Linked DNA regions of Struthio camelus. Each later gene encodes a partner of the first gene's protein in a complex. Links are inferred from orthologs where the notes say so. Each region holds a gene or a part of one and is shown in the gene's direction. Other genes may lie near its edges.

Region 1 (7,224 bases):
CCTCAGCAAGTGAAAAGGCAGCTTCTCTCATCACCTCACCCATCAGCAACTTAGTCTGGGGGGCGGGGGGGGGTGGGGGGGGAGGAGGCAACAAACATAAGGCACATTACTCCTTCTGCAGGATGGATAATTAAAAGCATCAAGAAAACAATACAGAATTTAAGACAGAGGAAATTCTATATCTCAAACCAGAAATCATAATTCCCAGGTGACTGGCAAAAAAAAAAAAAAAAGAAAAAGCTGTTTGAGTCAGTGTAAGAACTCACAGAACTGCGAAAGACTTGACTATCTTTATCAGCAGAAAACCATACTAGGTGAGCGTTAATTCACAACAATATAATGGCACAGTGGGAAAACACTCTTACCTGATATTGTACTGAATAATGTAAGATATCTTAAGTTGTTGTTCAGCATACAGATGTATGCAGCTTAGTGAAGCTGCTCTCTCCTCCTGCTCCAGTTTTCCTATTTTTACACATTTCAGTCCCTTGGCGCTAAAAAAAATATGCTATTCAGAAGCAAGAGCCTTTGTGTATCAGCCAGTGCATTGCTGTTCTGTTTGTCTACAGGCAACTAGACGTAAGAGTGCCAAAAGCTTGTCTAAAGCATGATAACAAAGTACTACTGCTAACCCTGGCCATCCGCAGCAGTAATAGTCTAAACAATACAGATGAATCCCATCTAGTATGGTAGGACAGAACAAGCCACACCAGGCTCTACTGAATATCTTGTATTTTGTCATTTGTGCTGCAAAGAGCGCAGGAAACAGGACTTGGCATTTCTTTATAAAGAAAGAAATTCGATCTGGATGAAACTTCTTGTCTCTACCTCCTGGTGTACCTGATCATGCAGGAAACACAGATCTGCAGTGTGCTCTCTAGCAAAAAAAAATAGTACCACAGAACATGTTAAATCCACTCCTACAGCACTTAGCACTGTCACAGCAAACCCCCTGTAACGTAGCAGAGCAGGCAGTAGGAAACTCTAGATATAAAATAAGAGAATCTAGCGCTAGTTGGAAAGAGGGGAAGAATATTAAGTCTTACAGATTTTCAGTACCATCGCAGCCAGGAAAACATACTTCTGCTTATTTGTCCTCAGTAGCCTCACTTACAAAACACAGGTTATACACAAAGTTGTACTACATTCTAGCTTACCTTATGAAGTTAGCAGGATGGGAACGTACAACTGACATATAACAGAGAACTTTTAAATGGAGTGAGCTAAATATAGGAAAATTCCAGTTTACCTACCTCAATAATTTTCTTAAGGATCTGCCTGAATCGAAGTGTCAAAGCATCAGATTTTTTCTTCAAGAGGTTACGACCTGTTTGGGCTCCTTTCAAACGAGCCTTCATGATGGTCTGAGCCCTGTTAAACAGACCAAGAAACAAAAAGGCCCTGTGTCATCCAAAGGGATTAGGAAAAAGTCATAACAAGTTTCCTGGCACGGACATGACTGAAATTATGAAGCAACCGAGCAAAATCAATGCAGTAAACCAGGTTGGACAATTCAGGAAAGAATTCTCTTTTTCTGTTTGAAATCAAGGGAACTTATCTCCTCTCCATCAATGAGGATTACAAGGTTAGTATCTGTAAAGCTGAATAGCATGGAAAATTGACAAGTTATTTTTCAGCCCCTTCATAATAGGAAATAAAGAGTTTTCATTTTTCCTGATGACAGCTACTCCAAATGAACCATTCTGACACAGATTTGGGAACTGAAGGATCCCCGTTTCCCTCTACTCCTGTGAAGTATGGTTTAAATTGCACAATTTGTTGATTTAGGTTAACTAAAATGACAGTAGCTATACTACAAAAAACACAAGTTTTGCTAACTTAAGCTACTGCTTTGTACACATAATTACTACACACAAAGGACAACACTCAAGACAGCTCTGTGAAAGGAGTAGCCTGCACACTTCCTCTCTGACCTTGGAAAAATTAAGTATAATTAAGATTCTACCTACACTGTGAAATCCATTACTTCCCCCACTTTACAGGCATATTATAAGAGTGGCTTCATTAATGTCTAAAAGACGCTTATAACCGGAAAAAAAAAGTGAGTACTTTCTGAATGTTCATGATGAAAAACAAGGTCAAAGAATAAAAAGGTAGCTTTACTTTCATAACAAACTGGAACTGGTTCTGGAATGCCACCACCTTGAACCAGCTCACTTGCTCTGCTCGCTACCTGTCAGAGACTGGCTCAGTTTCTACTTCAAGCAAGATTTCACGGGCTCTGAGAACGCGTTAAACAAAGTCTTGTTTACTGTCAATAAGAGCAGTTTCTGCAAGGGATCACGTCCAGTACAGAAGAGGTTCATACCAGCAAGACCAAAGAGTAAAAGAAAAAAAGAAAGAAAAAAGAAAAAGAAGGATTTTGAAAACTCTGCTCTGTCAGTTAACAAAAAGATTTGTTCCAGAGGCAGAGAGGGGCCATCTTTATTTTACTGCCCTAACTTACTTCCCCATCAAAATATCAGCCGCATTATTGGTCTATTACCTCCTTTGAAGAAGAGGCTTGTAAATATTAAGCCTTCGTACATCATCACCTTCTTGCCACAATGAGGTACCAGCCCACAACACAGGTGCCTTTCCAAAATAACTGAAGTGTCTTTTCCTTGGACGTGTAAACTCAATGAAAAGAGGACGGTCAACAGCAGATGCAAGACCAAATGACTTACTACCTACAGCAGCTTATTTCTGATCCAAGATTCAAAACAGAATCTTTACCATGTAATATATTAATTTTTCCATGTAAGGTGTTATTTCATACATCCTGAGCTCATATGAGGGAAGGACTGTTATTTTACATGTGAGGTTCTCTACCACTGCAAGGTATCTTTCATAAAGACTATATCTCAGGCATCAACCCAGTTTTTATGCAAGATTTGAAACAGCTTTCCACTTTAAAGCAAAGTCCTTCTATCCCAGGGAGTTCTGAAGAGAAAATGAATAGCACTGTTACAATAGCAATTTTAATAGCATGTCAATTTTAAACATTTGCATTCATTCCAACGTCGGCCTCTTCCCAAGCCTTGTCAAAAGGCACCTGACTTCATGACAAATAGTCTGCTGTCAGGATCTGGAAAATTACTTGACTGTCCACTGCACTTTTTGCATTTGACTTCCTGTATTTTCTTAACCCTTTACAGCCAACCTCTCGAATGCAGTTGCTGCCACATTAGTTATATCAGTGGCAACTATTTAGAAGAGAAAATGCGGTTTGATTTGCGGTCTTTTTTCTTGAACCCAGATTCTACAAATTGGTCTTTTTTGCAATCAAACTTTGCCTTACTGTATAATAAGCCCCTGGGAAGCTGCTTCTCCCTTGGTACTGGCCCCTGCAATGGCCCTCGCATGGCCCAGAGAGCTAATATTGAGCAACTTGGAAAAAAGAGACTAACGGGAAGATCAAGCTGCAGTCTCCAACTGCCTAGCAAGGGGTTTCACGCGAAACACAGAGCGAGACTGCCCTTGGGGGCGCACAGCAGGAGGGCCGGCGACAGCGGGCGCAGCCTGCGGCACGGGAAACGCCGGTGGATGCCACAAGCGGAACTGATCCCGCAGAGGCATCGGCAGCTCGGCTGGGCCGGGCCGGGCCGGGCCGGGCCGGGCCGGGCCCCCCCCCCGCCCCGCGGCTCTGCTCGGGGCCGCAAGCGCGGCCCGGCCCGGGCTGGGCGGCCGCAGCCGCCGCGGCCCGCGAGGCGCCGACCGCGCCGCCCGCCGCCCCGGCCCGCGCGCAGGCTCGCTCACATGCGCGACGGGAAGATCTCGATGCGGTCCTTGCCCGACATGGTGGTGGTGGCGGCGGGCGGGCGGGCAGCGCCGCGGGACCGCTCCTGCCGCCGCGCCGCACCCTCGCGTGACGCCCCCCCCCCCGCCGAGTGACGCGACCCCGGCGCAGCGGCCGCGCCCCCGCCCCGAGCAGGCCGGAAGCGCCGGGAGAAACCCGGATGGGAGAGCCCGCCCCCTCCCGCAGGCCGGCGCCGGCCCCGCCCCTTCCTTGCGGTCACGTGCCCGCCCGGGGCCAACGGCGCCCTCTGGGGGCGGGAAGGGAGAGAGACGTAACTTGTTCCTGGGCCTGTTTGTGCTCCCAGGAGGTTCTTGACTCTGCGGCTCTTAAGCGGTCGCCTCGCTCTCAGCGCGCGGAGTCCCGCAGGCTCCGAGACCGTTCTAGTGCAGCGCGAGCGCTACGCCCTCGCCCGCCCACCGTCCGCCTCGTCCCCCCACCTCGGCGCTGGGACTCTATGATCCGGCGGGGCGGGGCCGGCCCGTCTCGCGAGAAGGAGCGCGGCGGGGCGGCGGGGGCCGGTGCACGCTGAGGCAGGAGCCGGGCCAGCGCGGGATCCGGGAGCGCGAGCGGACAGCGGGACCCCCCGGCCGTTGCCAGGTAACGGCCCGTCCCGGCGCAGCTCGCCTCCTACCGCCGACTCAGGCTCCGGCCCTGGGCCCCGGCGCCGCGCCGCGCCGCCCGGCTCCTCGCGAGGACCGGCGTGGCGGAGGGCTGGGCCCGGGGCGCCGAGGGCCGCGTCCGCCATCTGCCGCGCAGCTGCGAGCGGCCCGCCCGGGGGGCCGCACTCTCCGGGCCGGGTCGGGCCGGGCCGCGGCCTGCCCGCGTCTTGCCGTCGGCCTGCTGGAGGGGTCCGCGCCTGCGCCCGGCGGGGGCTCTCGGCCGCCCCGGGGGCCGCTTCCGTCCCCGCTTCGGCGCCTGTGCTGCCCCCAGGGCTGTGACTCCCCGGCCTGGGCACCGGGTCGTGGCAGCGACGCCGCAGCGGAGGAGTTTCTGGCCAGAAGTTAGCCTGGTTTTGCCAGTTCTTACAGAGGCCTCTGTGGTCGTTTCGTGGCAATGTGGATTTAAATCCTTGCCCGTTCATTTCCAGCGTCTGGGAAAGATGATTCCCAGTCTTGGGGCTGCAGGTAGCGTGTTGTCCCTGAGGCCCTTTCGATGGGAGGACAGCATAAATGCCTTGTGACCACGGAGAGAGCAGTGAAACGCTGTCTGTGCAGAGCTGTAGTTGTCTGTTCTTGCTCGCCATTGTTGGGGGTTGTTGCTTTATGCTATGTGTTTATTCAGTGTCTCATACATAGATATTCAGGATTAATCTGAATTGCACTAAATAGACTGGAAAGGTAAATTGTAAAATGTGTATTTTTAGTCTTGGGATTCTTTGTTGAACTTATGGTTACGTGAAACCTTTAGAGGACTGTTTTCATAATTGCTTCACTAGTTTATATTTTCTCCTTTCTCAAAGTTAGTGAAGAATGAAAATAAAGATGGACACTTTCTTCAAAATTGTTTGGCCGTGTTTGTGTAGCAGTTGGCATCACCGTCTTACTCTTTTTAATATTCTTGTATTGATGCAGTGCGTTAGCACTGCTGTGAAGATCAGGCGTGAAACTTTGAAATGGCAATTAAATCTTTCAGGGAAGTAACATGTTTGACTTGGTATTACAGGCTGCTACATCCAGAGTGATCTTATAGTTCTGTATCAAACTTCTAGGCATAGACAAAAGGAGTTGGGGTAGCCTGATTAGTAGTGATGAATGTGTGGATTACTCTCATCATCAGGAAAATGAAGCAGTTTCCTATGAAACTGCATGGATTAGTGTGCATTTCTTCTTATCGCTGCACGTTTATGAAGCATGAGCCTTCTTTTTTGCGTGTGTTCTGCTGTTCTTGCATCCTTTGACTTCTGAAAAGTGGCCTCTGGAGCTGTAAGCCTTCCTCTCTCTGTACGGAATTATTCCAAATATTTTATGTTGAGTTTAAAATATCATTTTCTAGAGTATAGAGATAGATGGGGTCTCTTCTTTCTCAGTACTACAGAAGCTTTGCTCTGCTTGTTATTTTATCAACATTTCACATGCTGTCTTATGATACGCTTACAGATATGTTTGTTATCGCTGCAGTTCTCTTCTCTTCTGTGTGCTCCTGTTGTTGAAATCTGATTTATAATTTTACATGATATTATGAATTTAGATGAATGAAGAGTGCTGTACCTCCTTTTCACCACATGAAGTCTCTTCTGTATTGTGCAATATATGTCATACGACAGTCGAAGTGGATAATAACTAGGTAGCAAGGTTTTTTACCTTCATGCAAAAGATGATCATCTTAGCAAAGCCTGTGATAATACTAAATACTAAGATAAATTAATTTAGTATTTTATGAGAGCCTAATTCTGGAAATGTTTTCCTAAAGTAATTTGCAATTTCTTGTTCCAGAGTTCAGTGTTCCTCTTTATCCTTACTAGTCCTTGCTGCTTCTTACTACGTTTGTGGGAGAGGTTAGTGGTGTACTATGAGCTAAGTCATCTTTGTTTCTTTTTGCGCAAATTACAGAATGCCAGGACTAAGCTGTAGATTCTACCAGCATAAATTTCCAGAAGTGGAAGATGTAGTGATGGTCAACGTTCGGTCCATTGCTGAAATGGGAGCTTATGTCAGCCTGTTGGAATACAACAACATTGAAGGCATGATCCTTCTTAGTGAGCTATCCAGAAGACGTATCCGTTCCATAAACAAACTCATCCGCATTGGGAGGAATGAGTGTGTTGTGGTCATAAGGGTTGACAAAGAAAAAGGTATTCTGGGATATTATGGGCAGTATCAAACTTGAAATCATAAAGATAAACGCAAATAAACTGGGCAGCTTAGGTTTTTGGGTTTTTTTGGCTGGGAATTTTTTTTGCTTAAGGTACTCAAACAAAATAGAGCACAATCCTGCCACGTGATGTTTGTGAGCATTGTTCTGTGTGTCCTTTGAGAATCAGGTTGATGAAGATCAGTCACACCAGTAAAGATTTGTTTGAGTCCTCAAACTCTTAAATTCAATGTTTTAGTCAACAAACGGTATTGAAGTGGGATTTTCTTTTGAAGTCTCTGTTTATTTTCTGAGTCTTAACTGGAGAGAAGAATGATACTAGACCTGTCTGTGGTAGTGAAAAAAAAAATCTAAATGATGAGCATTTAGACCTCACAGTTCATCCTGTGCCCTAAGGCATCAACCCTGACTATAAAATGGATGGCAGTTATGTAACGATTGTACCATATGCATACTGTAGAAGGTTAAAAGTTGGGATTGTACATATAGCCTTAACTTTTGTCCATTCCTGTCTTCTGAACTCTTGAATCTTTGAAGTTCTTTAATGTATTTTCTATGTAGGATGTCATTTTTTAGCAATACTGTTCAGTGCCATCTTTAACATCTATATCCTT
Region 2 (7,723 bases), on another chromosome or scaffold:
GTGATATTTAGTCCTATGAAGAGGGCAACAATTTATAGCAATCACGTCAAAGGAAAACCAAACAATACAGGTTTATGTTACAATAAAAGGGCAAACAGATTTTTATGAAAAAATACATGATTAAAGGAAGAGAAAGGATCTTGCAGATGTGAAAGAACTCCTCAATGATGTCCCATAAAATGGTGCAAGAGAGGCTCCCTTTCAAGACATGGCTGCAAAAAGGAGAGCTTTAAACATGTTGATTTCTGATCAAATATCTAACAACTACTGTAAACAATAAATAGGAATAAGAAGCCTGTACCTGTTGCAGAAGACCTGAATCAGAGTCCAAGACACAGGCATCAATCAAAATACTCTGCAACCAAAAAGGGGAAACTCATGAAAAACAGAAACGCAGCTAGGACCAGTGCAACCTCAGGGTTATTGTCTTGATCTGTTTCAGCTATACAAACGCTCCATGCATGCACACATTTTTAAGCCTGCAGGCCCACCACAGACACAGGGAAGGTCTCTTACTTGAGCAGCACACGAATCCAGATTTCCAGCCTCCACTTCCTAATATATGGCAATACAAGAACTACCAGAAAAGGTATCTTATACATTATCTACAAGGATGGGAAAAAGGGTTACTGTCTGTACTTCCAGAGCAAACTTCAACTGGCCTACTAGACCTTTTATGTTCAAATGCAGTGATCTAGGTCTGTTTTTTAAACTCCTGCCTTTCACCCTAGACATGATAGGCTTCATAACCTTCAAGAAGTCTTTAACTAGACCACGATCATAAGAGAAATGAACGATTTTGTTACATCTATACATTAATAAAAGACAGTGTGTATCATATAGTAAATAAAATGCCAACTTCACCTGTTTCTGTGCTGCAAAGATCACATTCATGAAATTCATATATTGCAGTGCACTGTCTTCTGCAGCTTTTATGACCTACGTAAAGCAATTCAAACTTGTTAGTCTACATAATACAGCCGTATTTCAACACTCAAAGAAAATTGACAACAAAAACTCTTACCAGAATTCTTGATTTAATTTCTTGATTGCCTAAGCATTGAAAAGAAAGAGAAATGCATGAGCACATTATTTCTACCCCTTGTAGCTTGTCCTTGTAATTATGCAGCATGATCTAACACTTTGGTTAAAATAGATGTATGCGACTGTTTTATGTTCTCAATGGCATTAAGAGCAGCAGAAATACTTGACGAGTATCTGTGGGCTAATTCAGATCTGCTATGAAAGTGGATACCATCTCATTTGTTATCCAAAAGCAATTGGATATTGAACGGGAAAGAAATTTTAAAGCTGTTCATTACCAGCTCACTGGTTCAAATACATATCTCAAGAATAACAAGGTAATTCTCACTGATCAAAGCGATCTGAAGTGTATAGCTGATTCTAGTCCAGTTTCACCTCGCAAAACCAGCTGCACAAGTAGCACTTCTCCTGATTACAGAAGTCACAAGAGGAAGACCAAGACTGAGTAAGAAATTAAACTATCATCCCAACTCTGCAGATGGTCCCTTTGGAAGAGGATTTGCACTTCACGCAACTTTCAAGGAGTTCTTTGCAGTTTTTACTTGTCCTGAAGAGATTCCAATTTTACTGTTCACCCACATGCAACAGAAAACTAGAACAAGAACACAGACTAATCTGACCCAAAGTAATATTATAAATACTAAGTTATGTTCAGTATTTTCATTATTTCTATTTTCAAGCCCTGGGGAGCCTGGTCTGACCTCATAGCGGTCTATGCTTTGAACAGGAGCCTGGAATAGAGACCTCCCAATGTCCCTTCCAAAATAAATTACCCTATGATTCTAAAGCTGCAGAAAAAGAAAACAGCTCTACAGAAGAATGATTTGTGTTGTTAAATATCACAGTACTAAAAGTTTGTATTACAGCAGAATTTTAATTCTCCAAAGAACTGAGAGTTCTCCTAATCGATAGCTCTCTCCATTGTTTCCAACAACGGATGCTTAACCTCCTTGTTTTAGGTGTTTTACACCCAGCTGAGATAAAAATCATTTTTTTTTAATCGTTCAATATGGAAGAGGTTGAAACATCTGATGCAGAGTACTGCGGTCCTTTTGGATGCCACATCAAGAATTTTGGAAGACATTTAAAACTGGGCTCTAATTTGTGGAAGCTCATTTGTGGATTTGCGCCTTTTTAGAATTATGTTTGTTTTACTTGGAAGTTCTAAGATTTTTTCCCCCAAATTTTAAGATTCTCTTTGCTTTCTGCCTCACTTCCATAAATGCTTATTTCTAATCCACCCAGACCTAGCTCACATTGGGCAACTTGACAATCAAGACAAACCTTTACCTATTATTGCCAATGTGGGAAAGAGGGTACAGAAATATATGCATGTTTGTTTGTACGTATATATGTGTGCATACATTTTTTTCTTGTCCTTCCAATTCAAATATTTATGTATTCACTCAGAACAAGAGAAAAGGTATTACCTTTCACCTCTTTGCTCATCTTGTTAATGTCTACATTAGTTGACATTAAGGAATCAACACTCTATTCTTAGCATGCCCAAGAAGCAGACATAACATTTCCAAAAATTACCAAACCAGAAAGTAAATCCAGTACTTGTACTATGCGTTCAGCACCTTAGCTAACACACATTTTAGTAACCACAATCCACAGTTATTAGACAAATCATAGTTTTAAAAAACATCTCTGCTTTGAATATTATTATAGAACAGTAAATCCTAGAGTGAAGCATAATCAATATGATAAGAAACGGTCTTAAAAAATAGATAGAAATAATGGCTTTGAAAATTCACTCATTAAAAGGATACAACAAAGTGCTTTAGCAAGTGATCCTGCTAGCAGAGTTTCTGTTTGCTGGCCCCTCATGTCAGCTGCAATACAAGACAAGCTGCAGAAGTTACTTTATATATGAAAACAGTTGCCGAACTTGACCATAATAAATACTTCATTTGAGTTCTATTTTTGGCAAATAGGATTAGCGCAGAGACCCCAAAAGTGTCAGGTATAACCTTATCTACTTTAAACACATTAAAATTCAGAAGACCAAAATAAGGCCGCATACAAAGGAAATGCCAGCAACTCCTTGAAAGTCTCCAGTATTTTCTAATTCCGCATATTAAACCTAGAATTGTCTTTTCCTTACTTTTCGTCATGAGGTCTTTAATTTCCTCTGTAATTGCATCATTTATTGCTGTTAACAATTCGTATTTCCCATCTCTGCTGCCAGAGCAATTAGATTCTGCAAAACTACCACCATCTCCAAAGAGATCTGCAAAAGTCCAACGCTTCCCGGGATACAAGAAACGACTGAAAGAGAAGAATAAAGTATTCATGTTTTGCCAATATGCTCATAAGAAAAATAAATAAATAAACCAGTTGTAGACAGCAATACTCAGAAGTAGAGCTTTCCATAATTTTAATGCTTAAGCCATTAAAGAGACTACATAAGCCAGGCAATCTTCAAAATCACAATGGAGTAATGCCTGCATTCACTCCCTTCCTTTCAAGGCACGGTTTAAGAAAATTAGCAGACATCGTGTCTGCCCTGAGGGGCAGACCACTTGTTCCTGAGACTCACAAATAACTTGGGGTGGAGGGGCAACACAGGACTCACTAAACAGGAAAATTTCCCCACTTCTGTTGTCCTGCTCACTACACGACTCCTCACCTTCAATCTACATATATTTGTTGCTTAAGTAAAAGCCCATTTTATTTCTTTCTCACTCTGTTTTAATTAATTTCTATTTTTAAGAGAATGATAGGTTACACATTTTAAACTTGGTTTCAATAACAAACTCCAGTCCAACAAGGACTTTAGGGGAGAGCTGTAGGAAAGAGCACTTTAAAATTAAGTTTGTACACCAGTAACAAGCAACTACACCTTTCTTGCGTGTGACTCGCTATCACAGCCAGCCTGTTGGTACGGTTCATAAACAAGTGCGAATTTCCCAGGACCATCACCGCATCCAGGCATTTTGACAGGGTGAACTGCTGAAAAACAGAAGAAAAAAAAAAAGCAGATATAACACGATAATATTCAAAATTGAGTAATTTAGAAGAAATCTCTCAATTCAAATGACTGAAGACTTAAAAGAACTCGAATTTTAGGATGCTGAAGGAGATTCATTTCTTAATGGGAAGGATTTAGGGGCGGGAAAGAAGGCTCAAGCCATACAGGACACCGAGCAGGCACGTTAAGAGCAGTCTCACGCAATTATCAATTGCATCGCACAGCTCTGAAATCAGAGACCTAGCCCGTCTGCGGGCAGCTCGCAAAGAAATAAGCGCCAGACCGAAAAACGTTAATTTCCTCAGGGAGCCGCCCCGCGGGGCCGGCGGAAGCGGTACCGGTACCTCGGCTTCCCCCAGCGCCCTCTTGCCCCACCAGATCGGGTTGGTGTCAACGATGACGACCAGCAGGCTCAGCTCGTCATCTGAAAGACAGAGCACACGGCGCCGTCACGCCGGGACACGGCGGCGGCGGCGCCGCCGGCCCCGAGCCGCCCGCGCCCGCCTCACCCGCGCTCATGTCGCCGCCCGCGCCGCCTCCCCGCCGCTGCGGCGCCGCCGTGACGTGACGGCGCGCGGCGTGACGTCACGCGCAGGCCGGCCGGCCGCCGCGCCGCGGTGCGGGGGGAGCGCAGCGCAGCGCAGCGCAGCGCCGCCGCCGCCGCCGCCATGAGCACGGACGGTAACGGCGGGGCGCGGGGCGGGCGGGGCGCGGGGCGGCGCGGCCGGGGCTGACGCTGGCGCCTGCTTTTGCCTTGCAGACCTGATCGAGGCCTTCCGGGCGCAGCTGAGGGACGACCCCGACGTCGCCTCGGCCGTGGCCGCCATCCGCGCGCTGCTGGGCTTCCTCAAGCGGGACCGAGGTGGGCCCGGCTCCCCCTTCCCTCCCCTCCCGCCCCCGCCCCGGGCCGGCCAGGCCCCGGCCTGCCCTGACGGCGCGCCTCTGCCCCCACCCCCAGGCGAGACCATCCAGGGCCTGCGGAGCAGCCTGCTGGACGCCATCGCCACGCTGTCGCGGGTGGACTCCTCGGTGGCCGTGTCCTCGGGCGGGGAGCTCTTCCTGCGCTTCATCAGCCTCACCTCGCTGGAGCACTCGGTGAGGGCAGCCTCCCCCCTCGCCGCCGGCCTCCCCCCTCGCCGGCCTCACGCCCGGCTCGCTCTCTTTTCCAGGACTACTCCAAGTGCAAAGAAATCATGATCGAGCGAGGGGAGATTTTCCTCAGGAAGGTCTCCCTGTCGAGGAACAAGATCGCCAAGCTCTGCCATCCCTTCATCAGAGACGGTGCCGTAAGTAGGCCGAGGCGGCGTTGCTCTTGTGCGGGTGCCCCGCTGCTTCCAGCGGTGGCGAAGCTGGAGGGGAGTGACATTTGTTAGCATCCATTTATGACAACGTCGTCTGATGGTGGCTTTTGTGAATACACAGGCATAACGTCACCCATTGCTTTATTTTCTTAAGACTTCCCCTCCCCCTACCTCTATTTCTATGCAAAGCAGCATTACCTTGTGGCCTACTTGTAAGAGGTGCTGAGGAGTCTCAATGTGAACTCTCCATTGAAAGTATTAGATCCTCGGCCCCCTCGGCAGCATCAGGGCTGTGTAAAAACCTGCCATGTAAAGTCCAGCTCAGAGTGGTTTGCTGTCCTATAATTTGTATAATACAAATGGCGTACAGTATTATTTAAAGTTGGCGGACAGTTGTGTGAAGTAAAACCCATGACACAACAACAACAAAAGTTCTCGGAAGCTCAGCAAAAAGTAATGTGTTTTTTTTGACAGCGAATATTGACACATGCCTACTCAAGAGTGGTCCTCAGAGTGTTAGAAGCAGCTGTTGAGTCAAAGAAGCGATTCAGTGTTTATGTCACTGAATCACAGCCAGATCAAGCAGGGCAAGTACACATTAATTTTGTGTTTTATCTATCAGCCAGCATCACATCTGTCATATCTTAAGAAAAGCTAAGTTTATTTGCATCATTTTCAAGGGTAACTGTATCACTAATAATGTAACATTGTTCCAGACAAGTAAACATAAATATTGGCAATTAATTTTCTGTACTAAATAACCTCATTACACTGCTGCCTGGTTATTGGCAATTAATTTTCTGTACTAAATAACCTCATTACACTGCTACCTGGGTTTTCCTCAAAGGTTTACAAACCTTCAGTCAGTGCCGATTTACTTTTTTCCTTTTTTGACGGGAGACGATTGACTTCTGGTTGTCAGCTTCAGAAGCAGGCCAAAATAGTCAGTATAATCTTTAAGCATACAAAGTAAAATATTTAGCTAACAACGTCGTTTGAAGATGCCAGATAACGTGTGTTACTGATAGCAGGCTTTCCCTCTCCAGAGAATACAGTTGCATGCGGGACATAGCTATACGTACTCGTGTTGCTAACCAGTCTTTCACTAGCATAAAGGACGTTTAGCTAAATGAAGTACGTATGATCTATCAGGGTCACTAAAATAACTTCTAGCAATACAGCCCATGCTTTATTTCTTGTGTCTTGTTGATGGAAAAGCAGAGACAGCTTAGGTAATCAGCGATCTTAATAATGTTTCCCTGACTTATCTTTCTGTAGCTATAATTCCAGACTGCTAAAACTGACTTGACTTTGTCAGGTTTGTCATAATCTGTTTGTTTCCATTTCTACACAAGAATTTATTTTCCTTTAGGGGGAACATCACAAATCAAAACTACTGGCGAGGGAACGTGGGCAGTCATGGGTTTCACTCCTTCAGACAATATTTTTCTAGCGGTCTTTAAAGAAAGACTTTTAAGCTTCAAACATGCTGTTTTAATAGGCAAAAAATGGCAAAAGCTCTGCGCAAGTTGAACATTCCTGTGACTGTGATTCTAGATGCTGCAGTTGGGTAAGTCTGATCACTAAATCTTAACACTATTCATCCCAATTTTACTTTGACAGAGTTATATATGAGCTTTATAGAAGCTTGTTCAAAGTACAGAGATTGTTACTTAGTCTGTCACAGTCACCAAACAAGCTAAACAAGTTAAACCTTTTGGTGCCCAATTAGGAGAATATGCCTGCTATAAAACGAGTACTTGATGCTTGCATATGAGAATGAAGTCAGGCCTAAGTACAGAACTTGGGTGGGGATACACGGAAAAAGGAACTGGGGTGCTATGCAAAAAGGCTACCTTTTTTTCTAATTTGCATACAGTAAGCACTAGCATTTTTTAAACTGATTGATTGCTAAATCACTACTGCTTAGTGTATGTAAGTACAAAGTATGAGAAAGGAAAGAACTATTATAACTAAATCCCAGTTCCTACATTAGTGCAAAATGCATGTCAGAATGCCTCCAAGAGAAGAAAACATACCAGTCTGCTTACCAAGGCAGCTGTAATCCAGTGCAGAGGGTGGCTTGACTGGACAAATCTGAAAGTTTTGCGTGATGCATTAACATTTCTCCTTTTCAGAATGTTTAGCTGATGGTTTGCTTTTTAGGTCTGTATTTTCAATGAGCAAAACAGGTTGAAAGAACGTAAAGAAAAGTGGACAAGATGAGGAACATCTTATGTGTTTGGCCGAGGATATTACGAGGCAGAGTTAAACTTCACTGTGTAGTTAGCATTTTATCAAGATATTCACGTTCCTGAAACTGAGGAGTATCCCTAATCAGATCCAGCTTCTCCAAGCCTTTTCCCAATTACCAACGTCAGGTCAGGCAGAAGACATAATT

What was found.
Region 2: the proteins of EIF2S1 (region 1) and EIF2B1 are in contact, whole or in part, in a cryo-EM structure (PDB 6K72), measured with the Homo sapiens proteins. The link is inferred for Struthio camelus from reciprocal best matches to the Homo sapiens genes EIF2S1 and EIF2B1. Residues at the interface, in NP_004085.1 of Homo sapiens: Ala28, Glu29, Met30, Tyr33, Gly44, Met45, Leu47, Leu48, Arg75, Lys80, Tyr82, Ile83, Asp84, Arg88; in NP_001405.1 of Homo sapiens: Gly39, Thr41, Ile42, Gln43, Gly44, Leu45, Arg46, Ala47, Asn48, Glu70, Arg74, Ser77, Ser80, Leu81, Glu82, Tyr83, Ser84, Asp85, Tyr86, Cys89, Leu305.

Annotation. Positions count from the first base shown.
Region 1 is NC_090946.1:46,692,895-46,700,118, reverse strand, and holds the start of EIF2S1 (eukaryotic translation initiation factor 2 subunit 1), read left to right. Parts: upstream 1-4,048; 5' UTR 4,049-4,396; intron 4,397-6,348; 5' UTR 6,349-6,349; coding exon 6,350-6,590; intron 6,591-7,224. Other genes in the region: ATP6V1D (V-type proton ATPase subunit D), read right to left, coding at 1-55, 1,254-1,371, 3,760-3,800. UniProt on the Homo sapiens protein: Member of the eIF2 complex that functions in the early steps of protein synthesis by forming a ternary complex with GTP and initiator tRNA. This complex binds to a 40S ribosomal subunit, followed by mRNA binding to form a 43S pre-initiation complex (43S PIC).
Region 2 is NC_090958.1:16,713,500-16,721,222, forward strand, and holds the start of EIF2B1 (translation initiation factor eIF2B subunit alpha), read left to right. Parts: upstream 1-4,577; 5' UTR 4,578-4,689; coding exon 4,690-4,702; intron 4,703-4,781; coding exon 4,782-4,883; intron 4,884-4,979; coding exon 4,980-5,116; intron 5,117-5,190; coding exon 5,191-5,307; intron 5,308-5,796; coding exon 5,797-5,909; intron 5,910-6,823; coding exon 6,824-6,892; intron 6,893-7,723. Other genes in the region: GTF2H3 (general transcription factor IIH subunit 3), read right to left, coding at 302-355, 865-939, 1,025-1,053, 2,475-2,504, 2,820-2,882, 3,155-3,318, 3,893-4,002, 4,366-4,445 and 1 more.